Astyanax mexicanus: one gene and its partner. The protein of the gene in region 2 purifies or fractionates together with the protein of the main gene of each other region. This does not show direct contact. Links are inferred from orthologs where the notes say so. Each region holds a gene or a part of one and is shown on either strand. Other genes may lie near its edges.

Region 1 (16,873 bases), on a different chromosome or scaffold from region 2:
TTTTTAGCTGTTTTTTCTCATCTTCTTTTTGAAAACTCATAAAATTATTAGAATTATTAGAATAATAGTGTGACTGGAATGAAGCCTTCATAACTGGCATGAATAAAGGGCAAAATGAATTTTAAATGAAAATTGCACCACAAGTTTAGGGAAAGTGCAGGTTCTCCTGTGCTATATTTGTACCTTACTATTTTGTATTTTACTGATTAATAGAAAACAGTTAAACCATAAGTGTTGGGAAAGTACAGGGTAAGTTTCAGAAAGTTACCTAGGTGTTACACTCTTGTTCTCTGGTTGTATTTTATTTATACGTACAGTTAAATACCTGTAAAACCCAGTAAGTATTCAGAATGTACTGGTTCATCCAGAGAAGTTACATCGTAAGTAAAGGGAACTTACCCTCTAAAACACAGGTTGTATTATAAAGCGTTACCAAATCTCCTGTATTTGTAATGTGTGGCTGTCCAAATACATTTGTCCATATATTCTAACTTCAAAGCTTCAAAAACTGTGATGTGATGTGTTGGTACCCAATACTTTTTTTCTATCTATATTAATTACTATAGGTTTAGAATGGGACGTGATAAAATGTTGTGTGGATGTGCCCCAATATGTTGTACATCCATGTTAATTTATATTATATTACATTACATTACATTACATTTGGCAGACGCTTTTGTCCAAAGCGACTTACAATAGTCAAGTACAATGTAAAAAAAAGTTTAAAGGTAAAACATCTTTGGATAGGGATAAAAGGAGGTCAAAGGGGAATAATAGGATAGAGGAGTGAAGGAGGGGAAGAAGGAAATGGGGTTAGAAGAAGTTAGTGTGTTAGAGGTGTTAGGAGAGTAAGTGCTCTTTGAAGTGCTCTGTCTTCAGGAGTTTATTAAAGATAGTGAGAGATTCTCCTGATCTGGTAGTAGAAGGTAGTTAGTTAGAGGTGTTAGGAGAGTAAGTGCTCTTTGAAGAGCTCTGTCTTCAGGAGTTTATTAAAGATAGCGAGAGATTCTCCTGATCTGGTAGTAGAAGGTAGTTAGTTAGAGGTGTTAGGAGAGTAAGTGCTCTTTGAAGAGCTCTGTCTTCAGGAGTTTATTAAAGATAGTGAGAGATTCTCCTGATCTGGTAGTGGAAGGTAGTTTGTTCCACCATTGGGGAACTCTGTATGAGAACAGTCTGGATTGCTTTGTGTGAGTGTTTGGTAAAGCGAGGCGACGTTCACTGGAGGAGCGCAGCGGCCGGGAGGTAGCGTAAGCCTTCAGGAGCGAGTGCAGGTAGGAAGGAGCTGTTCTGTCATCACCTTGTAGGCGATTGTAAGAACTTTGAATTTGATGCGAGCATCAACTGGTAGCCAGTGGAGCTCAATGAGCAGCGGGGTGACATGTGCCCATTTTGGCTGGTTGAAGACCAGACGTGCTGCTGCATTCTGGATCATCTGGAGTGGTTTTACTACACAGGCCGGGAGGCCAGTTAGCAGGGCATTGCAGTAGTCGAGGCGTGAGATGACGACCGCTTGCACCAGGAGTTGGGTGGCCTGTTGCGTCAAGAACGGTCTAATTTTTCGGATGTTATAGAGCGCAAAGTGGCAGGACCGAGCAACTGAGGCCACATGGTGCGTGAAGGAGAGTTGGTCATCAACCAGAACACCCAGGTTCCTAGCAACCTTTGTCGGTGAGAGAGAGAGAGAGTCGATGCTTATAGAGAAGTTGTGTTGAAAAGATGGTTTTGCTGGTATGACCAGAAGTTCAGTCTTTGAGAGATTTAATTGAAGGTGATGCTCCTTCATCCATGAGGATATGTCAGAGAGACACTGCGATATCCGTGCAGAGATTGAGTGATCTTCAGGTGAGAACGACAGGTATAGCTGGGTGTCATCCGCAAAGCAATGGTAGGAAAATCCGTGTGAGCGGACAACCTGACCAAGAGAGGTGGTGTATATGGAGAAGAGAAGGGGTCCCAGTACCGAACCTTGGGGAACCCCAGTGGATAAGGAGCGGGCTGAGGACAGCTGTCCTTGCCACGACACCTTGAACGAGCGCCCAGGCACCTTGAACGACCAGTTAGAATTAAACGTCATTAAAGCTCCTGTAGTAATGTGTAATGTGCAGATGTCAAAATACATTTGCCCTTACAGTGTAACTGCAAAGAGGGAGCAACTACACACTAATGTTTATAGGTTTAGAATGGGACGATGCTCTTTGTGATGCACTGTATTACTGAATCACACCTGTATCACACCTGATTGGTCTAATTTGATTGTATGCATCACATCAACATCAAAGTATAACTCTAGTTAGCTAACTCTCCTTCTGTCCCTCTTTTTCCGCCCTCCTCCAGCTGTTGTTAGTAGGCGGTCCGTCACAATTCCTGGAGATATCATCCAATAGCATTCGCTGAGGGAGGCGAACCTAGCTCCGCCCCCAAACTTTAAATAACACCCCTTTCAAAACGTGAGCGGAAAAAACTCACTTGGGTGAAAAAAGCAGAGAATTCTGGAGGAAAAAAACACCCAAGAGGAGAAAAATAATGCTTGAGAGGGATATTCAGTTCAGCTCGCACACGATTCCCTTTTATTTTTTGCTCGCTAGTTTCACATTTGTGCTCACGAGAAGTTAATTAACACACACAAAATGTTAAAACACGCTGGTTAATTTTTTTCACCTGTTGTTTTTACGCCCCCAACTTTTTGACATTGATGTGACGCCGTATGGTTGTTCTTCCAGGTGGTGCAGCGCGAGGCTCTTCAGGAATCTAATGGGTACAGGTGTTACGAGAACCTGACAGCGGACAACATAGACAAGTGGCGCGTGGGCATGCGGATCCTCCGCCACACGGTGGGCTTCTTCCTGCCGCTGGCCATCATGGTGTTCTGCTACGGCTGGACGATGGGGACCCTCTTCCGCTCACGCAACAGCCAGAAGCACAAGGCCATGAGGGTCATCCTGTGCGTGGTCCTGGCCTTCGTGGTCTGCTGGCTCCCCAACAACATCACGGAACTCATCAACACGCTGATCGAGGGGGACATTATCGATGATACGTGCGAGCTCCGGAACAAAGTGGGCGCGGCCATGTACGTCACTCAGGCTCTGGCCTTCATTCACTGCGCCATTAACCCCTTACTCTACGCCTTCATCGGCAAGAAGTTCAGGAACCAGCTCTGCATGATCTTCTTCAAGAAGGGTCTGATTGGGAGGGAGGTTCTGTCTCGGTACAGAATCGGATCCCTCTACAGCTCGGGAAGCTCCAGGCATACGTCCGTCACTCTGTAGGACGTCAGGATTGGAAAAGAGGAAAAGATCTTGTGTTATTAGTCATTTTTTACACTCATCATCAAACATATAGCTGCATCCAGAAGAAAGGAAGTGTGGGATTATAATGCTATAATGCTATAATGCTATTTGGAAGAAATAGGAATAGTTAGTAGGAACAATAAATAAGTATAAATGTAGATTAGATATTTATGGGTAATATTTAGTGAGCTGCACACACAGAAGTAACTTGTAACTTGTGCGTAATGCATGTGTAAATTACTTAGAGCTTAGATCGGGCCCAAAAAATCCAGCCAATCCAGCCCGAATCAGCCCAAATCTGTGCATGTTCTGCCACTATGAGCCCGAGGCCAATTTAAAGCCCAATTTAAACATTTTTTTAGCAAGTTGAGCATTAAATCTGAGCTTTTTAAAAACATTTTTGGGCTGTTTGAATGAGCCAAATCTGTTCACAATGATGTTATTTTACATTGCAACACTGAAGAAGCATAGACCTGTTATTTAAGGCCCAGAGCTGCATTATTTTAACATTCTAACTTGTGCAACTTTGATTTATGTTACTTTGCTATATTGTGATTATAATGCCTATTCACAAGATAACACCTCACAACTTATGCAGGCACGAGCATTCCTAAGACGCTTTGTTATCGCCTTACACCCTGCTGTCCCATGACTTTTATAAACTTTTTCATTGCTATATTTTCTTTAATTTTACCAAATTGAAAACCTTTGGAATATAATCAAGAGGAAGATGGATGATCACAAACCATCAAACCACCAAACTGAACTGCTTGGATTTTTGCCCCAGGAGTAAAGCAGCATAAAGTTATCCAAAAGCAGTGTGTAAGACTGGTGGAGGAGGAGAACATGATGCCAAGATGCATGAAAAAAAACTGTGATTAAAAACCAGCAGGGTTATTCCACCAAATATTGATTATTTCTGAAAACTTTCTCTTAAAACTTTATGAATATGAACTTGTTTTTCTCATTTCTCAGTTTTCCTGTTAACAAATGCTATAAATAACAATATTTTGATATTTTGATTTGGAATTTGGGAGAAATGTTGTCTGTAGTTTATAGAATAAAACAACAATGTTCATTTTACTCAAACATAAACCTATAAATAGCAAAATCAGAGAAACTGATTTAGAAACCGAAGTGCTCTCTTAATTTTTTCCAGAGCTGTATGTATATTAATGTGTATGTTAATCTCTTTGTGAATACACCTTCTAATGAATGCATTTGCCTGCTTTAATCTGAGCCCATTGCTCAGGTTACACAGGTGTGCAAATTCTCACACTCGCACACACTTTACACGTTTATCGTACGCTTATACGCTGCTTTTCATTAAACAGAATCTCTTATCTTGTTAAACAGAAACAGACAGAGTGAGCGAGAGAGTTTCAGAAATCTTTATCTAGAAATGATCTGTCAAAAACAACCTTATCTTGCTTTGAGGTTAGAGCCTACAGTTCTGATTGAACTGATAGAACATGCACCTTATGCACTAAGCGATACACACACACACACACACACACACACACACACACACACACACACACACACACTATAATACACCTAAGCTTTGCTTGTTATACTTTTTTTAAGTATATTTTGCTTATTTTTCTTGTTTCATGTAAAAGCTGTTGCTGTTGAGACATGAGTGTATGATTCAGCATGACGGGTGCAGAACAGCTGCTTAGGAGAAGTTCATATTTCATAATATCAGTGCTTCTGTATTATAATAAACATAAATACCATTTAAAAACCTGTAAATGTTGTTATACTTTTATACAGTGCAAGTATGTCGTTTGCTGAATGTGTAATTATTGTGATTATTGTGGATCCTAAACTGTATCTGTCTGAAAACTGCTGGTGCCCATTATTTTTTTCCCCAGAAAATTAAGTATTTCTATCAGACAATTATAGGAATTACACTTTTTGTTACACACATGCTTATTTAAACAGAGAGAAACTGACATAACTTCACACAAAACTCAAAAATCAAAGCTTGTGATGCTCATTTAAACTCCCTTATGGAAAGTAACAGGTGTGGGCAATATAAAAACCACACCTGAAACCAGAAAAAGGAGACGAGAAGTTTCTCAATCTTTGCAATTTGTGTCTGTGTGTGCAAGACTAAGCAATGAGAACAGAACAATGAGAAGAGAACTGTCTGAGAACCAAAATTAAGGACAAATACCAGCAATTTCAACTTTACAAGTCCATCTACACTTATCTTGACATTCCTTTTTCCACAGTGCGCAAAATAATCAAATTTATATCACTGAGGCTAATCCCCCTGGACATAGACAGAAGAGAAAAATTTATGAAAGGTTGCATTGCAAGATATTCCAGATGGTGGATAAGCAGCCCCAATCAAGTTCACAAAGAAATTCAAGCCGTCCTGCAGGCTCAGGGTGCATCAGTGTTGGCGTGACCTATCGGTCAACATTTAATACGCTATGGTAGGAGAGATATAAAAAAAGCTAAACTGCATTTTGACAAAAATGTACATGAGTAAGCCAAAATTCTTCTTGGAAAATAGGCAAGGCAAGGCAAGCACATCAGTCATTGAAAGTGCTTTACAAACTAGAAAATATAAAAAGAAGTCAAATAAAAAAACATGTAAAAGAATAACAATACAAATGCAAATACAAATAAAATAAGAGTAAAACATGAATGATTCAAATACGATTCAAAAAAGAGCAGTCAAATTAAAAACATGTAAAAGAACAACAATGAATTGGAAATAAAAATAAGAAAATAGATGAGACCGACAAGACCAAGATAGAGCTTTTTTGGTAAAACACATAATTCTACTGTTTACTGAAAACAGAATAAAGCCTATAAAGAAAGGAACACAGTACCAACAGTCAGATATGGTGGAGGTTTAAAGATGTTTTGAGGTTTGTTTTTTTTTTTGCCTCTGGAACTGGGTGCAATGAATCGTTAAATCTGAACATTACAAAAGCTAAGATTTTGGGTCTTAATGCTGGGCCAAGTGTCAGAAAGCTGAGTTTGAGTCGTAGGTCATGGGTCTTCCAGCATGACAATGACCCTAAACATACTTCAGAAAGCAACCAGAGATGGAGTTCTGAAGTGGAAGCAATAAGTCCAGATCTAAATCCCACCTAACATTGCTGTTGGGAGAAGAAATCCTTCAAATAGTGAGAGCTGGAGAATTCTAGGTGTAAGAAAGGTGTAAAAAGCTTGATGGTTATAGGAAACAATTGATTTCAGTTATTTTTTTCCAAAAGGGTGTGCAACCAAATATATTTTACATATTTAAAGATTTCATTCCATCGTTTTGTTATTCATTTTAACCAGTCTAATTATGTCTCTAGTATGAATGAATGCCATGTGAGCCGTTTTTTGGTGAAAAAAACGATTGCTCATAAATATTCATACATGCAAATATATCGCCTACGATTGGCTAACAGCACTGCAGCAGAGAATGCTGCCTTGATTACATTTCTTTCAGCTAAACTAACGTTTCTGAATTCTTACCTCCTATTTATCCTATTTAAACCTATAGTTACTTACACAAAATAGCTAACCTTAACTAGCTGTGTAAACAGAAGTTGTAAGCTCCGCCTGTGGGCGGTCCTGAGCCGAGGTGGGGGAGGCTATGAAATCACTGGTTGACATCAACCTTTTACATCTCTCTGATCAACTCGTATTTCTGAGGGTTCTCTTTTACTAGCTACTGCAGACAGCGGAGGCTAAGAAACAGTTTTAAATGCGGCATCATATATAACTTAGAGAGACCTATTGTATTTGACTTTGCCTGCTTTGTAATAATGAAATAATGTTTTTCTCTGATATTTTGTTTTGTTCCAATGCACACAAAGAAAATCTTGACGTGTATGTTTGGGTTTTTCTGTAGAAAACAGCTTTTCTTTGGTGCGAGAGCTCCAGATGTCTCACATCTGAGTGATAATCATCTGACGGTCTGCTCTAATCTAACGTGCTGAGTTTCCCAGAATCACCGCCACCCTGCAGCTCTCACGGATGCCCTGCTGGAGGAGGAAAATTAGCCGAGATTATCACTGCACATCACTCTCTATCACTCTGAATCACAACCTATCACTCTATTACTCTTTATCACTCCCTGTCACTCACTCTCTATCACTCTGTATCACTGCACATCACTTTCTATCACTCTGTATCACTGCACATCACTCTCTATCACTCTGTATCACTGCACATCACTCTCTATCACTCTGTATCACTCTATTACTCTTTATCACTCCCTGTCACTCACTCTCTATCACTCTGTATCACTGCACATCACTTTCTATCACTCTGTATCACTGCACATCACTCTCTATCACTCTGTATCACTGCACATCACTCTCTATCACTCTGTATCACTGCACATCACTCTCTATCACTCTATTACTCTTTATCACTCCCTGTCACTCACTCTCTATCACTCTGTATCACTGCACATCACTTTCTATCACTCTGTATCACTGCACATCACTCTCTATCACTCTGTATCACTGCACATCACTCTCTATCACTCTGTATCACTGCACATCACTTTCTATCACTCTGTATCACTGCACATCACTCTCTATCACTCTGTATCACTGCACATCACTTTCTATCACTCTGTATCACTGCACATCACTCTCTATCACTCTGTATCACTGCACATCACTCTCTATCACTCTGTATCACTGCACATCACTCTCTATCACTCTGTATCACTCTATTACTCTTTATCACTCCCTGTCACTCACTCTCTATCACTCCACATCACTTAATATTTATCACTGTGTAATACTTTATATCTCTCCAGATCACTATATATCACTATGTATCACTGTCACTGTATGTCACTCCATAATGTTGTTTATAAAGGAATATAAAATTGTTTTCTTGTGTAAATAAGTAAACAAATCCTTTACAGCAAAAAAAAAAAAATAATAATAATATATATATATATATATATATATATATATATATATATATATATAGTGGCGAACTGGCCTAAAGGACGACACTCTGGAGACTCTTGCATCTCTTTCTCCGTAGATTTATTCCTCTCAATCCACACAAAAAAAGTTAATCCATACAGCAACAACCTCGAACGACCAGAGAAAAAGGAACACTCCCCAGATTTCTCCCGCTCTCTCCATCCTCCCAGTTCCGAACCCCGCCCCTCCCTGTTCACCCTCTATCATGGTTGGCTGGCACCTGTTCTCTACATGGCGCCCCCCTTAACCCTGAAGATCCCAGTGGCGACGCCACAACATATATATATATATAAACAAATCCTTATATACATATATAATCCTTATATATATATATATATATATATATATATAATATATATATATATATATATATATATATATATATATATATATATATATATATATATATATATATATATATGAAATAGATTTTAGTTAAGTTTTTAGTCTATCGTTTATTTTTTATTTAATATTTTATATAATTGCTGTTTAAAAAAATATTATATAAGTAAACTATGTAAAATTATTTCGATAAAATAATACATTAAAAAAGTTTTTTTTTGGGAGGAAACGGACGTGGCGCTCGCTGGCCGTCAATACGTCACGAGGGGTCCTTAGAGGGTGCTGGATGTGACTGGAGCACAGAATCGCGCATACCCCCTGCCTGCCTGCACAGCTAATAACCACTGTACTAATTTAAAAGAACCCATCTTTATACAACATTTTACATAAAACGTCTTTTTTGCATGAATTAATTTTACGTGCTCATATTTATATTTATTACTACAGGTAGAACCTTTAATAGCTTTTAATTGTGTTATTTTATATTTAATATTTATTTAATCCAGTGTGTAACTAACTGGAATTTTGGAAATTCGAAACGCTGTTTTAGTAAGTGTAAGTGACTCATTAAATGTTACTAAAAATATATATTTTAAATTATTTTTATTTACTTTATTAGGCTATTAAAGTGATGTGGTGTGATTTTAAGTCAGGCGCACAGGGCAGCTAAATAGAGAGGTCCTTGGGGTGCAGAGTTTGGTGGGGTGCCCAGCGCGGTGTAGCACTGTACCGGTATTCAGCCTGCAGAGACCCGGACACAGCGTGCAGCAGATACACCGTGATATTTACAGGTAAATGTGTGTGTAATATTGTGTTGTGAATAATGTTGTGTCTAAGGTGTTGTGTTGTGTTGTGTAATGGTGTGTGTGTTTTGTGTGTAATGTGTAGTGTTGTATAATGCTGTTGTGTTGTGTGTTGTGTTTTGTGTGCAATGTGGGCAGCTAAATGTGTGTGTGTTAGCTGTAGTATACAGAGTTTATAACCTGAATAATTATAATTATAAAGGAATTAAACACCGGGTAAACAGAGGAGTTCAGTCCTAAAACATCACACTCCTGTTCTAGCTGAGCTCGTCTGGTTAAGGGTATAAATTAGATTAATGCAGTTTAAATTAAGCTAGTTTAGGCTAGCCCTGTTACTCCTTAAAGGGGAGGGGAAATGGGTGATGTATGGGTTTAGGGGTGGAGCAGACGGGAGAGCTGATTGGGTGAGAGGCAGAAATGACAGCAATAAGAGCGTTTTGTTTTACCAGTCCACCAGTCTTACACACTGCTTTTCTGTGATTTTATGCCACATCTAGCGCAAAAATGAATGAGTTCAGCTTTGTTTGATGACTTATAATAATCCATCTTCCTTTTGATTATATTCCAGATGTTTGCAATGAATTGAATGTAGTATTAAGAAATGCTGTTGCTGTTTGCATACATTATTCATAAATGTTCATTTAAGACTAGGACCTTTAGACCTAAAAAAAACAATAATATCTCCTAATATAATCTTACAAAAATAGCTAAATGCATGCGATGCAATATAACAAAGAGATTAACATTATAACGTTAAGCTATCAATATTTTTCTGATTATTTTCTGACTGAGTGGTGCTATTGATTATTGATAGTAAAAGTAAAGTGATATGTGGTGTGGGTGCAGAACACCTGACGTCCTGCTGTGGCCAGGATGGAGCTTATTAACCTGTAAAAAGCCTCCACCCTCTGTAAACACTGGCTGCGTATGCCAGCGTGTTACACGCTACACAGCAGATGGATGTAATCACACCTCTGGACGCTCTTCCAACCCTTTATTCTGCTCTGTATTTACAGAATTCCCGATTCAAGATGATCCCGGATCTCAGTAATTAGTCCTGCGTTAAAGAGCGACTCCTCCTTCAGATCTTCTGGACTTTCTGCAAAAATGAGGCTCCAGAAATCCAGCGTCTCCACCGTCCAGAACTGCCTGAAGCCCTGGAGGAAAACTCTGCTGTTCCTGTTTATCTTTACCTGGCTTGTGGTTTCCAGTCATTCAGATGAAGATTATTATAAGTTACTGGGAATTTCGAGAGACTCCAGCACACGGGAGATCCGGCAGGCCTTTAAGAAGCTGGCGCTGACCATGCACCCGGACAAGAACCCGGTCAGTACCATCTACTGTATCTACTGTATATACTGTATCTGCAGAGACAGCGGTTTGTTTAATGGTTAATATAAGGCCTGTCACAATAACAATTGTTTGTGCAGGATATTTTGTCCCAAAAATGATTGCGATAAACGATAATTTTAAATTTTATATATTTATTTATTCATTTTTTTATTTTATTTTTTTTTATTTCTTTCATTGTTTTTAGTTATTGTTTATTTATATTTTATTTAAATTCTCTTTTATGTGATTAGCTTTATTTATTCATCATCATTCATTTTATTAGTTTTATTACCTTAGATTTTATTTACATATGATTTTTGGATTCCTACTCTTAAATTCTATGCCTTATTTGTTTTATATATATTTTATAATATCTTATCTTATAAAATGTTTTATTTATTTATTTAATTCATAAAGAAAATGTCAATCCCTTCCCTATGTAATGGCTCGGCTGCATTGTAAATGAGGGCCACCCTTAATGTACTCCTAGTTTACATAAAGGTTGATTGATTGATTTTGTTGCCATTTTTAGACCACTAATCTGACACTAATAAAATAATAACGTAATTTTTGAACAAATGAATTACCATTTTAAACATAACTTTGAACAAGCGTAGGTTATATATAGTAGGTTCTTCAGTGTGTAATATATATATATATATATATATATACACACACATTGCAAAGTGTAAAGTCAGGGGGAACCGTGGGGTGTCCGCCCCACACCATGATGTGCAGCCCCGGTCTGTCCCAGCTGGCACATGTTGAACCGGCATGAGGCAACACAAACCTAAGAGACACTAAAGTTAAGCAACTAGAGCCAAACTAGTCAATTACTATGTTTCTTTAAGTCTGTTTTGGGTGTTGATAGAGGCCATTTTTTTCTAATAAAGCTTCAGCCACGCCCACAGTCACAATATATATAAGTGCATTTTGTAAGTGCAAACACAAGGGACGATACTATGATTATTAAAATGATTGAGGTTGTGCTTTTATTGAACGATAAATTGATAATGTAGTTATTGTGACAGGCTTAGTTAATATTAGTCTGATACCTGAGTCATCCTTCACTATAAAAAGGTCAATTTTGAGGCCAGATCCTCTTTTCCCAGTGAATTTCTGATTGATTTAAGCCTGGTCTGTAGACCTGTTACGATAACCATGTTTTTTTTGTACAATATTTTGTCCCATATCATAATTATGATAAGAAAAAATAGAAAAAAAAAATCATTTTAAGAACATTTTATGCCACTGTTTTAATGATAACATTAAATCTTTATCTTCTCAGATATTCTGTTTAAATAGGTGGGGAGAAAAGGAATGCTGCTATTTTTTTAAAGGGCAGTAGTAAATGTATACGTGGGTAAATTAAGGTGGGCTGTAAATGTACGAGTCTGCTCTTGTAATCATCTTGGTCCAGTATAATCTTGACTGATCTAAGATTGTATTTTCGTATTTGGGACGTTTTATTAAACACGTGGACAAAATTGTTGGTACGCCTCAATTAATGCTGCTTTGCTCTATTTGGCACAGGGTGTAGTGTCTTGAATCTGTGCAGGTTACAATAAAATCTCAAGACTATAAAGAGATTGTGGAGAAATGTGCTTCCCAGTGTCAGAAAGCTTGGTCTCAGTCGCAGGACATGGGTCATGCAACAGGACAATGACCCAAAACACAGCTAAAACACCTAGAGCTAAAACATGCAATCTGGAAAATACCTGCAGTTACAGGAATCGTTTTATTGCAGTGATTGCCTCAAAAGTTTGTGCAACAAAATATTAAATTCAGGGTACCATCGTTTCTATGCAGGTCTGTTTCATGAGTTTATAAAAAAAAAAAAATTGACGCATTATTGAAAAGGTATGTCTTATTTTCATTTGTTCCTTTTTTATAGCATTTTTATTTCTTAATACTTTTTTCAGATGCAACTTATTTCTGTGACCATTGTTGGTTTTTCTTTCTTTTTGGCTACCTGTGTAATTATTAATTTACACGCTTTCACCAGCTTTTTTTTACCAATAGCTGGATGTTTATAGACTAGGCCTGCTTTCAGATGTGCTGTGCACATCAGTACTTTAGCCATCAGCCTCAGTAACTCAGACTCGTGTTTTCTGTACGTTCAGAACGACGAGACGGCTCATGAGAAGTTCCTGAAGATCAACCGAGCGTACGAGGTGCTGAAGGACGAAGACCTGCGAAAGAAATACGACAAATACGGAGAGAAGGGGCTTCAGGATGAGCAGCACGGGGGCCGATACGAAAGCTGGAACTTCTACAGATATGATTTTGGTATGGTTTAATTTGTATTTATTATATCTTTAATTATACTGTCTTGAAGTCTTGAGACCCGGACTTTTGTTTGGTGTGCATCTGTTTGAGATTATGGGAACCTAACAAGTATAAAAAAAAACAATGTCCTCATATATGAATCATAGTTTATTTCAACATTTAACAATAATTTTAGCTCTCTAAAGAAAGGAATTAAACTTATTTCAAAATAAAATCTAATGAGTATTTTTACCTGGCCCACATTTACATCTCAACTGGCTGTGGAAACTTTTGTCTGGGATTCCCGCCAACTTGTTTTTTAATCAATTGAGTGTAATGTCGTCTTGTGACCACTAGGTGGTACCGACAGTGCCTCCATATCAGACCAGAGGGTCAGTGTTTAACCAAAAGAAGTATCAGGGTGCAGAGAAGCAGAAATGTAGTGTCCACATATGAGGACGCAGGGTCTCAGGACCCAGGATATACTAATAATAGGCAGAATGTGTTTGGCTCTGTAATGCTTTATAGTTTTTAAAACCTACTACCAATACATTGATTTGTGTTTTACAGGCATTTATGATGAAGATCCAGAGATTATTACTCTAGACAGAGGAGACTTTGGTAAGTAAAATTATTTAATAGGGCTGGGTGATCTGGCCCAGATATATTATATCATAATGATGATGTGCAATATCACAACATTTTGGCAAACAAATAAAATGCAGTATTAGACCTGAATTATATCCTTAAACACTTAAATATACATGATTTTAAAGTGTCTAAATCACATAAAATGTGTATTTGTCTCGTTAGCTGTATAGTGCAGTCATGCTTTATTGTCTGAGTTGCTGTGTGATGATGTCAGGGCCCTGAATTCATCACCACCAACTCCAGAGTCATTTTATCTGCAAAGACATTTTTACACAGACACAGTACTTACCTGGATCCTGTGGAAATGGCGGCGCGCGAGCCACCCGGGTCCTTAAGGTCTGGGTAGAGACCAAGGGGTGTCCTGGGGCAGGGGAGCCTGGGGGTACCTGTGAAAAAGAGAACAGAGAAAATAATACATTAACATTGTAAAATTATCATCAATACTTACCTGGACGTCCAAATGTTTACATGCATGTCACTCTGTTTGTAAATATGTTAATATTGTACATATACAATCATGTATAGTTGTCTTACCCACCTGCCCTCAAGTTAATTACTTGTTGGTTTAGCCGGGGATGGGCTAAAGGTATTTAAAGGCAGGCGGGTACACTATTGGGGGGCTGGTTGAGCGTGGCTGGTATGCCGACGGGAGTTTATTGTGCTGAGTATTAGCATTTGTGGTGGTAGCAGCCAATCCACCGTTAACTCCTACCAGTGTAGCGTGTAAATAGTTTGTATATATATTGTAAATTTAGTTTTGTTTTCATTTTTGTTTTTGGGTTCGGATGCTTAATTTGTCACAATAAACACTTCAAAAGGGATTCTTACCTGGTTCCAGGCTGTTTTTGCGTCTCTGCCTCACCTCTCTCCGGTAACCTCCTGACCACTCGTCCTCACACTCCCACATGCTGCTACTGTTGTTTTCTGGTGCAGTGGGCGGGGCTAAACTACTGCTGTTTAATTGGCTTGTTAACTTCTTCATTGGCTGGTTTATGGTTTATTCTGATGGACAATAGGAAAATACATGATGTCCAGTGTAATGTATGCTTTAAGAGTTAAAGCGTTTTCTCTTGTCTCTCGGACAGACGCTGCAGTGAACTCTGGTGAAGTTTGGTTTGTGAATTTCTACTTTCCCCGATGCTCGCACTGTCACGACCTGGCTCCTACGGTGAGATTGACTAAAACAGTGCTTTACACTTATCACACTTACTCCTGCTTCTGCTCATATACGCTGACGAAGTCGACCTAAAATCAGTTGACAATAAATAATCACTATATTTAATTTATTTGCAGTGTTATATATTAATAAATGCGATACAACAGAGCAGTGGTGGCTCACTGGAGTTTCAGGGCCTTCTGTTTGATATCCGGCTTTACTGAACAAAAATAGTCAATTCTAAAACCAATAAAAGCTGAAGTACTATAAAATTATAATACTGTACTACACACTGCACCTATTTCCGCACTTCCACACACATACTCCAGATATCTGCACATGTATATAGCATGTAATATGTATACATTCAGTTATATTTCCTATTATTCCTATTTATCTACAGAGCAATATCAAATGTCTACAGTAGTCTAAGTTATTGTTTAAGTTAATTCAATATTTCCTATTTTAATTTGCTTATTCTAAATATTGTTCTGCATACTATTGGTAACCTGCACCCACGTTTTTCACTCACCTGTACACCTGTACTCTGTAAATACAGGTGTATTTATGTACGTTACATAATCACATAAATAAAAAGCTTTATTTTGTCTCTTTCTCTATAAGCCTAATTAGGATTGGATTAGTTTATCAGTGGGACATCCTTTACACTTCACCTTAGTGATGATCAGTAAAACTGTAGACTGCAAATAACTCTGATTTTTCTTTTTATTACTCAGTGGCGAGAGTTTGCTAAAGAGATGGATGGAGTGATACGGATCAGCGCAGTGAACTGCGGAGATAACAACAGACTGTGTCGCAGTAAAGGAATCAGCAGCTACCCCAGCCTGTTCATCTTCAGAGCCGGGATGGTGAGAAAATCACACACCATCAAAAACAGCATAAAACATCCAAATCAGAATTAATCACCTGATAATAGTACTAATCAGTACATGTGCTGATTTGTCTCTCTGTCCTCAGAATCCAGAGAAATACTACGGGGAAAGATCTAAGCACAGTCTTACCAAGTTCGCCATGCAGTACGTGACCAGCAAAGTGACCGAACTGTGGCAAGGTACCTTAACATACTAAAATACAGTAAATACGGTAACTTAGTCTATTTATTCCAATATTCTGTAATTGTGTTTTCATTAGAAAGGGACCAAAAATTTTTGTTCAAAAATTAAATATATATTTTAAATCATCTACTATGGCCAGGTTAACTAAATCAATATAGGTGTTATTTAGCTAGACAGCATTTATGACTTGCTCTAGAACATGAAACTGTTCTTCTACCTCCATCGCCTCCAATAAAAGCATAAACCAATATTAGGAAAATAGACCGAAAAAGGAGTGAATCAGGAAAAGCCCCCAGACTGATGTCAACCTGTTAATTAAGATTCATGGCCACGCCCACCTTGATTTGCAACTGCCCACTGCAGGGATGTGGAGGGAGTGTTACAGTGCTGATAGCCAATCCAAGTTGAGACATTTGCATGTCATGAATATTAATAAGTAATAGCCGAAATCCTGTCGTTTAATAATAGGTCTGTGCTTCTTCAGTGTTGCAATGTTAATTATCATCATTCTGAACAGATTTCGCTCATTCAGACAGCCTGAAAATGTTTTTAAAAAGCTCAGTTTTACCACACTACTTACTGAATTAATGTGGGGTTTAAATCAGGCTCGGGCTCATATTGACAGTTTTTGGGGCGAGTTGAGCTTTTTTTTTTTTTTTAAATCTAAGTCCTAAATCTAAAACAGGAGCACAAAAACTGTCTCACAATACATTCATTCATACTAGAAGCCACCACAATATTAATGATAAAAACATGAAATCAGACCTTTAAAGCAGCATTATATGAGAATTAATAGTTTGTGCATAGACTGGCGTCATCTCGGCTAAGGTTATTTCTATTTTAAATGACTAAATGAATAGATTTTATGAGAGATGTCAGTTTATATATGTTTTGTTTAATTAGTCAGACATATTCATAAAGACTTGAGGTCTCTCCAAGCACTGTGGGCAATGTAAAAGTTAAAAACATTAAATCAGCAGTATGTAAAAAT
Region 2 (16,313 bases):
GAGGCCCCACTGGCACCCATCAGACTGCAGGTTAAATTCTTTAGGGTCAAATGAAACATGGCAAAAGTCACAGGACACAATAGTAGTTTCTGTCACAAGATTTATGGAATATTATTGTATATTGAAAAACAATTATTATACGAAACAAAAGTGGACAAAAATATATAATACAATACAATATACAACCTGACTTATGAATCATCACTTGTGCAGAACAGCAAGGCTAAAAATGACGAATGTTCTGCTTCTATGAAAATAAGTCACATCCTGAGAGAGCACAATTAGTCTTGCTCTCTCTTTCTGGGTAGGTAGATGGCACTTTTTTCCCCTCATCACTCCAAAGGGTGATGTCGATCAGCATATAGCATCTGTGAGCTGTTGTATTAGAACCGAATCGCTGCATTTTCCTCCAAGTACACTGTGATGCTACTCGGCAATTAAGTCGGAGTCTGACTTCACATGTATCGGAGGAGGCATGTGCTAGTCTTTACCCTCCTGGTGTTGTGGCATCACTTGTGATAGGGGATATAAAACTGACTAGCAATTGGCCAGATAAATTCGGAGAAAAATAGGAAGATACAGAGACAGAGAGGCAAATGTGATGTTTAGCCTATTCCCTCATCGTATCCCCTCCTTTTTACTTCTCTCTCTCTTTCTCTCTCTCCAACACTCGTCCCTGTGTCTCTTTATTTCGGGCACGTTCAATATTTCAGAAGGCAGAATATTTAAAAAGAGCAAGAGAAGCACAGAAGTGCACTGGCCTCGGCTCCTGGCAGAGCTACAATGGAAAATAACACACCCCTTGTAGGAACACACACATAACAAGCTCCAAACTCTCCAGGGACTGAGTTTGCTGCTCACAGTCCTAAAGGGTGTCATAATGCCAGACAAACTACAAATATTAGGGCTGCATATTGTAGAGAACCTGTCGATATGATACAATCGATACAAGCATCACAATACTAGGGTTAGGATTTAATGTATTGTAATAAATTGCGATACTTTATTACAGAGATATAAAAAATTAATTTCTGTAATAAACAATAAATATAGCATAATTAAATTAATTGGACCTTTAAAACATATGTCACTGTGCACACGCACACTGGTGAATCGGAGAAGTGAGAATACACACCCTGGTTGTGGGAACACCTCAACACCTGGGGAGCAATTATGTGAAGGGGAGTGTTATTTTCATTTTTAAGTGCTGGAACAAACCTATTCCTTCACTTCCTCACTCACAATTCTTGCCAGTCCAGGGGATTGAACATGTGATTTTCCATGGGTCCCAAGCCTATGTCCCAAGCCCTTTAGGCTACAGGTGATACTGTTCCGCCTCAGTCCTAGGGCTGCATGAATATTCTAGTAGTCAACTAATCTGATATATATATTTTTTAAGTCGATTAGTCATTGATTATTTCTGCCATGTCCTAAAAAAAACGATAAAAACAGCTGAACATGAGATTTAAAATACATTTAAATCTCTAGATATTGTTTAAACATGGAAAGTACTGATGTTTAATGAGTAAATATGTAATCGGTTGTGTTTAGGCACTCTTGGGGACACAAGAGTGCACATGAGACGTTTACCCATCTCCCATTGCACTTCTGTCCCCAGCACTTTGTGTAATGCAGCACTGTTACATATAAACGATTAGTCGACAATATAATTTGAAGGTGACAAATTTAAATAATCAACATTGTCGAATATATCGACTAATCATTGCAGCCCTACTCAGTCCATGTGATTTTTCACTGTGTCAGTTCTGTATCTCTTAGCTTGTAAAATGCATGTGAAAAGCATGTCCTTTAGTGGTGATACAAAGTGAAAAGAGTTCCACTTTTTTACTGTTGAAGAAGACACTACAATCCTGCTTTAGCCTTCACTTTTTCCACCAGTTTCAGATTGGCAATGACTACATTTGGAGAGAAAACAGGAAAAAAAAAACAATAAACCATTTAATATCTGACTAATGCTCAATTAATTATCTACTCTTACCAGTAAGATAAGGATATTATGTGCACTCAATTTTTTTTTCTTTGTGTTTAATGCTCAGGAGAACCCATTTTTGCAACCTTTTACTTCTAAGATTGTCAGAAGAACACAAAAGTAGTTGGGTAAATATGGAAAAAAATTGGTATTTAATAGTTTGCCAGTTTGCAGAACCTAAAACTAAACTTCACATACATTGAGAAACACTACTCCCTTCATCAATCAATCAATCTGATTAGTCCCACTGAACAACAACACGTTTCACCTCTGAGTCAAACTCCTGCACCAGCATCATCATAGCAAAACGAAAAGTGAATCTGATCTGATTGATTTCCAATTGCAATCTTTACAATTTAGTCAAAAACAACCATAAATCACAGAGAAGGAGAGCTGTGTGTGGTGTAAAGTGACCAGTCCATATACTGCCCTTTGGATAACCTACAGGCTGACCATTCTGAGAGAGCTCTTCATGAACCTCATAGCTCAACTACACTGGGCTGTGGGATAAATAGAAAATGGCACTGAAGGAATAGAAAAGGATAAACCATCAACACATCTGTTTAAAATATAATAAAAAAACACATAAGGGTCACACTGACCCAGTACAAGCCAGTTTAAGCTCCGCATTCTGAGAATCTGAGAGTGAAATTCCAGGCTGTTGAGGAACTAAACTGATGAGCAACACTGATGCTCCACATGCAGAGATATGCAGATCCTGTATCTCATACACCGACACACAATAATAGCATTTATATTATTAGTCATACGCAGACTGCAGTGTAGGTGGGCTGAGAAAAAAAAAACACTACTGGATTTCCAATACGAGTTATTGCACATACAGAGTAAACTATAGTTCAAATATATTGTAAAATAAATCTCTGAATGATTTAGTGGCTATGATGTAAACAAAGTCACTCAGCGTGGATTTGGTATGAAATGACTTGGTTACTCTGATTTCTTTACAGTAATGGTAATGGGAAGAATTAATGAATGAGAAGGTGAAGGTCCCAATACGTTCAGTACCAATAGAGTTCTTATCTTGTTATAAGGTGGTTGGTGTGGTGCAGTGGATAACACCACTTCCTGCAAGTGAGCTGCTACATCATGTGGAAAACTGGGGTTCAATTCCTGCTCTGGGTGACTATGCTGTGCTACACCAATAAGAATCCTTGGGCAAGACTCCTAACACTACATTGGGCTAACTCTGTAATAAATATAACCTTGTAAGTTGCACTGGATAAGAGCGTCAGCTAAGTGTATACATCATAAACATTAAAGGCATCTCTTAAAAAAAGGAAAGATATCTAATCTTTAGTTTACAAAAAGGAAGATGCTAGGCTAATGCTCCTAACAAACACTGGACTAAATTTGAACTCACCTGCTTCAAAACAAAAAATAATTCCTACCATGTTCTAAACTACGAACTAAAGAACTGCATGGGTTTTAAATAAGCTCAGAAAGGATACTTTTCATGAATTTACTCAGATGACAGCCTAAATACAGTGTTTGCTAGCAACATTAGCCTAGCATCTCCTGTTACTAGAGTCATTACTGAGATGAGATTAGTGACAGTCTAATTCCAGTGTTTCTAAGCAACATTAGCCTTCTTAATTTACAACGAAGATGCTAGGCTAATACTGCCCAAAAAAACGAATTACATACATAAATTAAATCTTGATTTAATTGCTTAAAAACTAAAACTAAAATAAGTCATTCAATGTTTTAAACTACACAGATTTGTCTGATGCAAATTTACTTTTTGGTGAGTTGAAGATTTTTTGAACATTACAATTAACATTCTTAAAACATTAAATCAGTCTAAATATTTTATTTAACGTTTTTAAATGTTCTGGTAACATTTCCTTTCTCACAAACATGGTCACTTGTGAATGTTTCAAATTTTAGTTTTGGGATTGTTACTTAAGTTACTTAAGTTTCCATGATGTTAGTATTCAACTAGATGGGAACCATTATAAATGTAAAATGTTTCCACAATATTTCTGGGACATTATTTCTGTAACCTTCTTGGAACATTTTTGAAACATTGCTAAATATTTTTATAACGTTCTCTGTTAACTGGGATTGAATTTATTGAGGTGAGGATTGAGACGTCTATATCCAAAGTAGCCTAGCCTAGCATCTCCCGTTCTTAACCAGAGAAACAAACTTGGTATATTAAACATATCGGAATATAGGGTTTGTGATAAATCATGTTTATTGGATTTCTCAACAAACTACTTATATACCTATAATGAGTATCAAAAGGCTGTATAAAAAACGGAGGGCAGCTCCTGAGAATTGCTCCCAAGAATAACGTCCGCTAACATTGGCACAACGTCAGCTCAATGCTGGGCTTCGCTCAGTCACGATCTTCCATCTGCCGGCTGGGTTCATTGCTCCTCACCCATCGAGCAGCAGTGGGCACTGCGCCAGCTCATATGGGCCACCACACACACACGCACAAATATACACACATACTGTATACACACAAACACAACCAGGTATTTATACACCTACTGGGGGTGGGGGGGTACATGCTTCATCGAAAAGTCATACACAGAGCTCCTGTTACTGGTCTGATTGGTTTAGGCGGATGTGAGGTGGGGATGGAATAATGGCATCAGAGAGATGGAAAAAGCTTTCCCCATTCAATCAGAGCCCTTTAGTGCTCCCTCTGGATCCGAGCTCCCATTATTTAAAGCCCTAAAAAAGCAACAAGCATCCATCTCAGCCGCCCAGAGGCTGGATGTGAACGTGGGGGCCGTTAACCTCGCCTTCATAATTCCATTCCATTTCTATAGTGCAGAGCAAATCCCAGACACATGGTAAACCCAGTCACCCAAGACACAAACACATACTCCAGCAGGGGAGACTTTAGGTCTGGTGGAGGTTTCGTCTAGGTACACATACGCAATCAATGAGCATGTCTGTTATAGACTGTATGGGTAAAGTACTGGGGCATCTGTCTTTTTTTCCCCCCAAAGTCAATGTGATTCATTAAAAAAAGAGAGAGTTTATCCAGCTATTTGCTAGAGTTACAGCCTCTACTTTCAAGAGAGGACTTCCTATTAGATTTGGAGCATTGCAGTGAGAAAATGATTGCTTCCATCCACAGTAGCAAAACATGGATGGACCAATCACAGCTTGACTCCTGAGCTGAAGGAACATGATGCTCTCGGGAGGTGAATTGTTGAGGGCTTTAAGAAATGACCTACAGACCCTGAAGCAAGCTGTCAGACTACAGCTACTGATAACCTTCACTTCTTTGTTGTTACAACCTTCCTCTAGCCTTTCAAGTCCAAGCTTTCAAGTCCTAGAAACCTAAGGTAGTATTCTAGCAGGTTTTGAGAGACCTTCTCTACAGAGCAAAGAGACACTGGACAAACCAATCACATAATGGTGATGCTGGCGTGTTAAAGGGTTCAAGAGGTGAGATGTGAAAGTGGTAGTTCATGCCAGAGGGAGCTAAAAACCAGACTTAGAGTCCTATCAGATTTTGAGGTTCCTTGTATACATAGCCAAAGGTCCTTGTACAGACGAATGACAGCCTTATCTCTGGGACAGCTGTACATTGTATTGGTTGGAGGCAAACTGTTGAAAGGTTCAAAAGGTTACCAGCAAGCTGTCAGGATGCTGCTACCCAAAACCTTCTCATCAGCTTTTACAGCCAATGACCTCTTCTTCTGCCTCCTCTGTCAAGGCTGACATATTATGAGCAGAAATTGCAGAGAAAGCACTTTGCGCTGAGTGATGGAGAGGGGGGGAAAGTGGTGAAACATGGTGGGGGCAGCTAGAAATCAGAGTTCTATATTGTAGCAGGTTTTGAGGGACCATCTCTACAAAGACAAGAGTCCCTACACAGATCAAACACAGCCAGACTTCAGGACCAGGGGGGAAAAAGGGCGGTGATGGATGTGATGGTTGGAGTGTTGAGGGATTTAGGGGGTCATCCATATAACACCTTTTCTGCTACTTGCTGCAACCAATGACTTTTAGTCTCTTTTGCCTCTTTCATCAGATCTGAGCAGAAATGCACAGCAAGCACTTCACTCTTAGAGATGGAGAGAAAAAGTGGTGAAAAATGGGAACCAGAGGGAACTAGAAACCAGATACTAGAAACCACTTCTATACATAACCAAAAGACCCTACACCAACCAAGAGGTCATTGCTAGCCCTTGAAGCAGGCAAGCTGTTAAGCTGCGGCTACAAATAACCTTCGCATTTGGTTGATACAACCAGTAACCTCCCCTTCTGCCTCTCCTGTCAACACTGAACATTTATGAGCAGAAATTGCACAGCGAGCACTTCACTCCCAATGATTGAGAGGGGAAAGTGGTGAAAAAAGGTGGAGAGATCTTGAAACCTGAGTTAGAATTGTACCAGCTTTTAAGAGACATTCTGTACATCAAAGAGAATCCCTGGAAAGACCAATCACATCTTGCCTCTTGATTCAAGTGAACATGATGGTGGTGGAAGGGGGAGGGTGGGAGGTTCAAGAGGTGACCCATATATCCTGAAGCAAGCTGTCAATCTACAGGCACAAATAACCTTCTCTCATGGTCACTACAACCAATGACAATATTTTGTCATCTTGTCAAAATTGACTATTTAATAAGCAAAAATAGCATGGCAACTACTTGGAAATAAAAAGGGGAAAGGGAGACTGGGACCTAGAACCCTGTGTTGGAAGTCTATCATGGCTTAAGGAACCTTCTCTGCAAAACAAAGAGTCCTTGGACACAGCTACCAATAACCTTCTAGTCAGATTGCTACAACCAATGACCTTCCCTGTCAAAGGTGATAATTATGAGAGGAAAGTGCAGACAAAGTAGTTGTTTCTCAGAGACAGCGAGGGAAAAGTGCTTGAACATGGCTAAGGGACCTATAAACACGAGTTCTAAAACAGTCTTCTTGCAGATTTTGAAGGACATTATCTCTAGACATTGAAGACCCTCGAAACCAGCTGTCAAGGACTATAACTGCTGACAACCTCATTCTCTGGTTGTTACCACCAATGACCTCCTCTCCTGCCTCAAAACTAACATTTATGAGAGTAAATAGCTGAGAGGTGGAGAGGAGTAAGAGGTATAATGTAATGGAAGGACCTATAAACATTGAAGGATTGTCAAAGTTCTTTGGAACAATCGCATGCTGATTCCTGAGCTGGTTGGATATGGATAGTAGTGGTGGTGCTGGCGGGATGCAGAGAACTGAACAGTTCGAGAAGTAACCAGTAGACGCAGAAGCAAGCTGTCAAGCTGCATCTAGCAGTAACCCTCCTCCCTCGTAGGAGTCCCTGGACAGAGCCTTCCAGGTCCTGACTTGTAGGGCAGATATGGACAGGGGGAAACTGGTGCAATGTAGTGAAAGGTCCTAGAAAGACTAACTAGAGTTCTTTTAGGTTTTAAGAGACCTTCTCTACATAACACAATGTCCCTGAATGGGCAGATTGTAGTCTGAGGTCACCTAGTCGAGGGTCAAGCATTTGATTCTAAGAAATGGGGAGGGGAGGTCGTAAAATGTGGTAGAATCGAGCCCCTTGGTGGACTATTAACAGTCTGACTCCAATGTCAAGCACTTGATTCTAAGAGATGGAGACGGAAAGTGGTGGAACGTTGTGGAAGGTCCTAGAAAACGAATGGAGTTGCAATAGATAATGAAATGAAATGAAGACAAACAAACAGCTATATGAATGAACCAGATGATGTCCTATACCTCAGCAATGGATGTGTGTTTGTAGGTGTGTGTGTGTGTGTTTAAAAACTTAAATCTCTTAGTAATCTACGGAAGCGTGATTGCATCAAAACAAAAAGAATCAGGGCGGCATATTTTCCCTCTCTCTCTCTCTCTTTCTGACTGAACTGGATGTTCTGTGTTATTCCCGTCGGAGCGACAAGCTCACGTGGCGTTCTGGCCCCTTTAGCAAAGACCAAACACACACACACAAACACAAATACACACACACTGTCTCTCTCACTCTATTACACTTTATCTCTATGTACACACTTACTCTGGCTTCTTGACTCTAATTAACATCCATCTGAGCATCTGCAGTACTCCCATGTCACTTGTACTTGTTACTTAGCCACAGCTGCAGCGTTTGTGTAGTCCACACACATACATCCACACTCACACACACACACACACTTACAAAGCAGTTGAGCATGGAGCAGGAGACACGGACGGCCAGGCTCATGGCGAGAGGGGGCAGGGCTCAGTTGCCCAGGATACACACACTCGGAGGAGCTGCACGATCGCCGGCAAAACCATCCTTCCCCCAGTGGACACTCCGGCTTCTCCTACTCCTCTCTTCTCTCTCACTTCTTTCTTGCTTTCTCTCCCTCTCTCTTACTTTCTCTCCCTCTCTCTTACTTTCACCTACACTCACATTTGCTTGCTCTCTTGCTCATTTGCAGAAGACACGCCCCAGCCCCCCTCCTATTCCTCTGCACGTGCCGGGAGGGGGGTATCACCGAGGTGGACGAGGTGCCGGTGGCGGAGAAGAGACTGATGGAGAGGGAGATGCAGGTTTGGTCCAGTTGCCGGGTGACCCTGTTGCTCGAGTGGCCGAGAGAAAGGACAGTCCATGGATAGTCTGTATTGCGCGAGAGGAGGAAAGAGGAGAAATGGAACGCCGGCAGGTGGACTGGATGGGAGGGGGCTGGTTGTGAGAGAAAAAGAGAGAGCGCAAGAGAGAGAGAGAGAGAGAGAGAGAGAGAGAGGTAGAGAGAGAGAAAGGGAGAGATAGAGAGAGCATGCAGTGGAGGGGGTTGGGGGGGTAAAAAGCGAGTGCTAGGGTATTGCCTGATGTTAAGCTCCACCCACAGTTGCATCGCATCCTTCACTCACGTGCATCCTCTCACTCAGCCTCTCTCTCTCTCCTCGCTCCCTCCCTCCTTCCCTCGTTTGTTCACCCTTCACCGACATCTCATCTGCACCAGCCTGCCACCTCAGCAACAGAGCAGACGCCTCGAGAACACTGCAGCTAGAGCCGAGGATGCCTTCCATCCTGTGTGCAACTATGCCTGTGAGCGCACACACACACACACACACACCTATAGACAAGACAATGCTCGTCAAATGTATGACTCTCTCACAATGACTTACTAGGTTCATCTTAATTTATTGAGTGTTGTCTCTTGTTTGTTCTTACTCTTGTTCTGTCTCTCTCTCTCTCTTTCTCGTTCTTTTGTTCTCTCTCACATTCTCTCTCTCGTTCTTTTGTTCTCTTTCATCACGCACACTCGCGCACGCACACACTCACACATGCTCAAGCTCTCTGATGTGCTCCCCTCAGTGCTGCATGGCTGGGCAGCAGGAGCAGGAGGCGCAATGCATCAGCGAACAGTCACGATGGTCGAGAGAGGTAGCGAAGGAGAAGGGAGAACAGAGAGAGAGAGAGAGAGAGAGAGAGAGAGAGAGAGAAAGTAATAGAGAGGAGCATGCAGCGTGCACCAATGACACAGCAATCTCCATCAGCTCCCCCTCCCTTTTCTTTAACCTCTCTCTCTCCATCTCTACCACACGCGCTCTTTCTCTCCATCAGCCTCATTCTCCGCAGCCTCCCAGCATGCAGTGCTCTCTATCTCTCTCTCTCTCTTTATCTATCTCTCCCTGTCTGTCTATTACTTCATGGCAAAGGCACACTGTTCCCTAAGAGTTCCCTCCAGCTCCACATCCCCCACCCTCACCCAGCGTGTCAATCGTGACCGTCCAATGCCTGAGGTCCTCTGCAAAGAACACATTTGTGTGTGTGTGTGCGTGTGTAAGAGAGAGAGAGAGAGAGAGAGAGATCATGGGAAAAATCTTCCTTTAATGAATGTTAATGCAAACAGAGTCAAGTGGGTGTGAATGACTGAAAGTTACACAGAAAGTGAAAGTAAGTGAACCTTGGCCAAGATATACATATGTCCAAATCTGTGTGAACACTCCTTCTAATAAAAATACTCTACATTAAGTTGTACCTATTGCAGACACAAAACTGCAAATGCACAATATTTATAATACCCTAAATTTTGAAACTCCTGCATTTGGACTGCAATTAATAAAACAGGAGGACTAGTGAGGTTTCAGGCTTTCTTGGTCACCTGACATCTGTTCAGTAGCTCCTTAATTTCCACTCGCTGTTGTTTTTACGTGGGTCTCCGTGAAAACCTGATGCATGCAGGAAAAACTGTATATAAACCAAAAGCAACATTTTTTGGGGAATTTTTATAACAAATTTCATTGGGACCCACAATTCTTATAACAGCAATTTACTGCATTGTTAAAAAATACTATATTGTTACAATTTTAATTCTCCCAGACTGGATTGAGGATCCCCCCCCCCCTCCAAAACCATCCCCACCTGTCCGTCTCAATTACAATCAATCTTATTATCCACCATAAAACGTGACCAGAGTATTAACCCCCCATTTAAAGGCAGCTGCTGCGAGGTGTAATGTTACAGAGATGGGAATCTCCCCTCTGGCAGTGAGGTAATAGGGTGTTGCAGCAGGGTTAATCAGATCAGATGAAGCGTTACTTTGCGCATCTTGCTATCTCTTGTCTTACAGTACAATCAGAGCATGAAAGAGAACAGACAGGTAATGTGTTTGTCTGACCATATTAAACACTTAATGGCAGGAAAGTGGGTTTAAACAAAAAATACATCAGAACAAGATTTGCAATTTTTACCTCTGTGCATCCAGATGCCCTGTTTTAATTCTAACAACAGTTGTGGTTAGGCATGCAGCTAACATTTAGCAACAAATGATTTACAAAAACAAACGATTATACCAATTAGGGGTGTTATTTTTTTTTAATATTGTTTCTATTTTTTATAGACTCAATTTGTGAGAGAAACCAGTCTGTTGTATTTGCATTATATAATTTTGTCAAATAATACTCTATTTTTAATTTTTAAAGTTTTCTTTAAAATAGTTAACTTTAAATCTTGTCTTGTCACACCCCTAATACCAATCAATGTCTAAGCTGGGCTTTGTTTGTGTGTCTGAGGTGATTGATTAGCTTTGAAAAACACATTTTAATTCATATTAATTTATATTTAATTTATGCAGTGGTTAAAAAAGTGGCAAAATGAATAAAAAACTGTGCCAAAAAAACGTGTTAGGTATTTGACCTTCAACGCAAAGCTGCATTTTGTTTCCTTTCAGTCAAAAATGTACACTTTATCTCTAGTGATGTTCATTAAATATGGTAACAGAAAGATTTAGAGAAGATAATATGAAATGTATTTGTTACAGTCCTATACTTTAATGCACTGATTCCAGTGTAATTTTTGTATTAATTTTATTATTTTATATATAAAAGTCAACCTGAACAGAGAGTGAGTGAAACGTGACTTCCCCTTCAGTGTTCCTGATCTACTCCTGATACAAGCCCACAGCCTCAGCAGCTATTTCAGGAAAAGAGGGCACCCCCAATTTCATTCTACTGAAGATGGGCACAGGCAGACAGACAGCCACTTAATGGGAGGAAAAAAATATTTTTGGTTTAGAGACAAAAGTAAGCCATACCATGTTCTAAACTAGTGTTCTGTTGATTTTGTATTAAGTATCGTAAGTATCTGTATCGGTAAGTATCAGTATAAGTCAGTATAAGATACTGGAAGAACATCACTGGTGATATATTTTCTCTACCACTGTTCCCTGCAACTAAACTGTGAATTAAAAATGATTGTGATACTGAGAGTCAATACAGTGTTGGATAACACAACACCTCAAAACAAACACCTGGCATAGCCGCTTGTTACTCATATACTTATGATTAGCCAGAGTCAGGTAGGAAGAAAAACATCACCTCTGCACTTAATTTAAAGTCCTCTATTCAAAGTGCAAAGACCACCCAGACCATGCAGCTCTGACCTGATTCTGGGTTTGGCATCACCACAGCTGACGTCAATGGTCCTGCACACACATACCTGGAATGAAGTTTAACTACGACTTGCTTTGACTACCATCAAGATGTGTACACTATACGGACAAAAGTATTGTTACTTCTATAATCAAGGGTTTTGAAGAGTTTAAAGGAGTAATTGTCTCTACAGTCCAGCGAAGACTCCCCAGCTCATCCCAAACTCCCAGCTCATCCAAAGCTCGTCGCAATCTCGTCCCAAACTCATCCAAAGCTCATCCTCAAATCATTCCCAGCTCATCCTATGCTCATCACAAACTCACCCCCAATTCATCTCAAACTCCTCCCCAACTCGTCCCAAGCTTATCCTCAACGCATCCCAAACTCCCAGCTCATCCAAAGCTTGTCGCAATCGCGTCCCAAACTCATCCAAGGCTCATCCCCAAATCATTCCTAGATCATCCCCAGCTCATCCCAAACTCACCTCCAATTCATCCCAAGCTCCTCCTCAAATCGTCCCAAGCTCGTCCCAAACTCATTCCCAGTTCATCCCAAGCTAATTCCAAACTCGTCCCCAACTCATCTAAACTCCACATCAACCCATCTCAAACTTGTCCCCAACGCATCCCAAGCTCATCCCAAGCTCATCCCAAGCTCCTTCCAAACTCATCCCAAACTCATCCCAAACTCCCAGCTTATCCAAAGCTTGTCGCAATCTCGTCCCAAACTAATCTAAAGCTCATCCCCAAATCATTCCTAGATCATCCCATGCTCATCCCAAACTCACCTCCAATTCATCCAAAGCTCATCCCAAACTCATTCCCAATTCATCCCAAGCTAATTCCAAACTCGTCCCCAACTCATCCCCAACCCGTCCCAAACTCATCCCAAACTCATCCCAAACTCGTCCAGAGCTCCTCCCCAACTCTTTCCAAGCTCGTCCCAAACTCATTCCAAGCTCGTCCCAAGGTCATCCTCAACTCATGACAAGGTCATCCTCAACTCATCCCAAAGTCATCCTCAACTCATCCCAAGGTCATTCAAATCTCATCCCAAGGTCATCCTCAACTCATCCCAAGGTCATCCTCAACTCATCCCAAAGTCATCCTCAACTCATCCCAAGGTCATTCAAATCTCATCCCAAACTCAAGACTTAAAGCATAGTGTATATTAATATAACACATGCATCTCCAAAACAGCAACATCACAGAAATTAAGACATTTTGACACAGAGCATGGAACAGTTTCTGTGTTCAAATTATGTAGTAAATTAAAAAGTGACAAAAATGGAGATACTTGTTTTTTATTGGACAGTGACGATATGAAAAACGAAATAAGAGAATCTTCCATTGCTTCACATACACATCATGAACACACAAACCAACACCAAATCCAAAGAGCTCTTCATGTGTGTGCATCAGGTGAGGTGGTCACATGCTGCATGTTTACCTCCCCGCCCTCCGTCTCGCTCTGCTGCCACTTTAAAGCAGCCGCTGGGCTGCCGTGGGGCAGAGGAGCTCACGGTCCACTTCTTTGGACCTAAGCCAGTCCTGGTCCAACAAAACAGAACAGAACTCAACACGGCCTTCTTTTGTTCTAGAGCAGATCAAAACCAGAGCGGACCAGATAGTAGGGGACGGGACGGGGATTAAACAAGCTGTACGGAAACAGATTAAAACCATTGTGCGTGGGTGGGGATTGTGTTCGTGTGTGTGTGTGTTTCAGCACCCAGTTTGTGCAGTAGACATGATGGCAGGCAACCTCACACACGTGACAAAGTAAGCATAAACACACAGGACATCTGAGTCATGGATTCTGGATTTAAGAGTTCTTCCCGGAATTCCAGCAAGTGCATATGGAAAAACTTTCATCTGTTGCATATAAAAACATCACACAGAGCTCTTTTATGAAGTTAGAAGAAAGTAGGTCAACTAAAATAATATAAAAAACATAAAAAACCTGTTGAGAAACGAGCAAAAAACAGACTAATATTAACTCAACCTCTATTCTTTAAAATTGCAACATTATTGCATTATTATAATTTAACATAGTAATAGACTAAAGAAGGAAAACGTAGGCTGTGTTCACACCACAGGTAAAAGTGGCATAAAAACACAATCTTTTTGATAACAGTACGTAACACAGATAAATGAGTTAAATGAGTAGCAGTGTTAACAGCAAAAACACACTGAATATGACATTTTAGTTTGTATGATGTGACATATGAAGTGATGCTTTGACAATTCCACTAAACCAAGCATGTGCCCAATTCTGCACCTCAAGTTTTGTTCTCAATCATTATTTTCATAGTCGCTATAAGGTCGCTAAAAAAGTGGCTCAGATCTTTGGAACTATCAATTTTTTGCATCCAATACATCAACTACTGCCTAATGTGTACATCCCATCCCTTGACAGATACCATTACGACATGACAATGAACATCTTAACATTAGAGACTAATTGATTAAATAAATAAGTTTGCTTTCTGTACCAAATCATAAGTATATGGTTTATAGGGTCAAACTTGCACTTTAAACTTTCAAACAAAACCCCTGGTACCCATAAAGTATGGCAGGGGTTTGCAATTAAGTCTGGCTGTGGGCCAGATACTTTCCAAGTCATTATGTTGCAGGCCACAAAAAAAATGCTGTAAGTGTAAGGAAGTGTAAGGGGATGGAGTGCTACAGACTAGTAGCTCTCCAGCCCAGAGGGCTGTTGAACCCAATTGCAGAACAGTTGAATTCAAAGCAGGTAAACCCAAGAAGAAAAGAAAAGCTTAATAAACAACCATGCGGGATTGAACCCGTGTCGTCAGAGTCGCGGTCCAATACACTACCGCTGCCCCGGCTAGTAAATTGGGACAGGGCCAGGAAAAAAACACCCTTATAAGGAAATAGGGAGCCAAAGAACTGGTGGAAAAACTAGAACGAACAGAAACTAAATTTAATGCCAAGCGCAACCGAGAGACAGGGGAGGTATGTAAACAAAAGCTCTCCATAGAAGCATCATCCATATCTGGCCCGCAGGCCACCTAGTGACGATCCCTGGTTTATAACTTCAAACTTATACTTTAAACCTTTAAACAAAACCCCTGATACCCATAAAGTATGGTGTTCAAAAAAAAATCTCCAAATATCAAAGTACAATATTGTTGCCATAACACTGATTCTTATGTTCTAGGAAGAAGAAATACATTCTCAGGCTGATTCAACAGCAGCTTAATTGACCCAAAACCAAACATATCCTTATTAATCACATCACTATCCTCACATTAACTGCAGAACACCACTTCTACCAACTCCAGGCATCACTCGCTCAAATAAACACACAGAAGCGGCTCCTACAGAGCAGGTACTGTATAAAGCAGCCGCTGACTTCACTTTGGACCTCACTGCTGTGGAGTCTGCAGTGTGTCAGAGGTGCAGGCTGGCAGCGGTGAGCGCAGGGCGTAAGCAGCAAGTGCAGAGGCGGCCACAGGAGGCCCGGGCACAGATGCAGCTCTGTTGTGTTTATAGAACACCCTAAGTGTTTAATGATCGCCGCTGGGACGCGTTCAGCGTTCCGAACGAAACATGACTTCATAACGAGGGGGAACCTGGCCAACGAGCCACGGCTGCCTGGAGTTTTGGCTACTTAGTGGAGTACACACTCTTACAAGTGCTTACACTTGAGGGAAGTGGCATCATGAGGAGCCTGGAAAAATGTGGCGTGAGGGAAAACTGGCACAGTGGCTTTATCCTCCGGGTCCATAAAGCTGGACATGCAACACAAGTGCTTAGTTGATCTCTACTGTACATGTTCAAATGTCTACTGAATGCTCATTGTGAGCAATAGGCTCCTTAGAGTTGGTCTAGACCCTGTATTAGGGGTGGGCGATATGGCCCTAAAATACTATCACGAAATTTACTCTAGCTGATAACTTAAAAGCAACCAAATCCTCACAGCAATGCTCCAGAATGTAGTAGAAATCATTCCTTGCACAGCAAAGACATTTACTCCATTAAAAGCAGGAAAATGTTTTTTTTTAATACTCTTGATTTCAAAAGAACCAAACAAATGAGCATTTGTCCCAGCAATTTTGTCCATATAGAATAATCTGCAGTCTTGACACACTTTTTTAATTGAGACACCTTAGTAAGAATTTTGCATTATATTATAAATGATAGAATTTTCTCAGCAGAGCCTAACCGAAAATATATATTGTGTAGAACCAGAAAAGATGGGCTAGGTCTAGACGATATATTGAGTTTTAAAAAGTTATCAATATATTTTTTCATACAAGATATAAGCTAAGACAAAATTGTGTATATCAATATATTCCAATTCCAATAATCAGACATTAAATAAATCTCTAGAATATATCTAATGTTGAGATGCTGTTCTCTCCAGTGGTCTAAAGGCTTCCATTATGATTGGGAGATCACTGGTTTAAATCCTGGTCATCTAGCTTGCCATCAAAAGAAAT

Evidence for each region.
Region 1: the proteins of mtmr4 (region 2) and dnajc10 purify together in Homo sapiens (affinity purification with mass spectrometry; 3 studies listed by BioGRID and IntAct, counting the BioPlex papers as one, with this or other methods). This does not show direct contact. The link is inferred for Astyanax mexicanus from reciprocal best matches to the Homo sapiens genes MTMR4 and DNAJC10.

The regions. Positions count from the first base shown.
Region 1 is NC_064418.1:49,784,174-49,801,046, forward strand, and holds the start of dnajc10 (dnaJ homolog subfamily C member 10), read left to right. Parts: upstream 1-9,279; 5' UTR 9,280-9,387; intron 9,388-10,415; 5' UTR 10,416-10,506; coding exon 10,507-10,725; intron 10,726-12,854; coding exon 12,855-13,020; intron 13,021-13,569; coding exon 13,570-13,620; intron 13,621-14,735; coding exon 14,736-14,818; intron 14,819-15,543; coding exon 15,544-15,675; intron 15,676-15,784; coding exon 15,785-15,878; intron 15,879-16,873. Other genes in the region: cxcr2 (C-X-C chemokine receptor type 1), read left to right, coding at 2,721-3,266. UniProt on the Homo sapiens protein: Endoplasmic reticulum disulfide reductase involved both in the correct folding of proteins and degradation of misfolded proteins.
Region 2 is NC_064408.1:12,990,297-13,006,609, reverse strand, and holds the start of mtmr4 (myotubularin-related protein 4), read right to left. Parts: upstream 8,716-16,313; 5' UTR 8,190-8,715; coding exon 8,145-8,189; intron 1-8,144. UniProt on the Homo sapiens protein: Lipid phosphatase that specifically dephosphorylates the D-3 position of phosphatidylinositol 3-phosphate and phosphatidylinositol 3,5-bisphosphate, generating phosphatidylinositol and phosphatidylinositol 5-phosphate.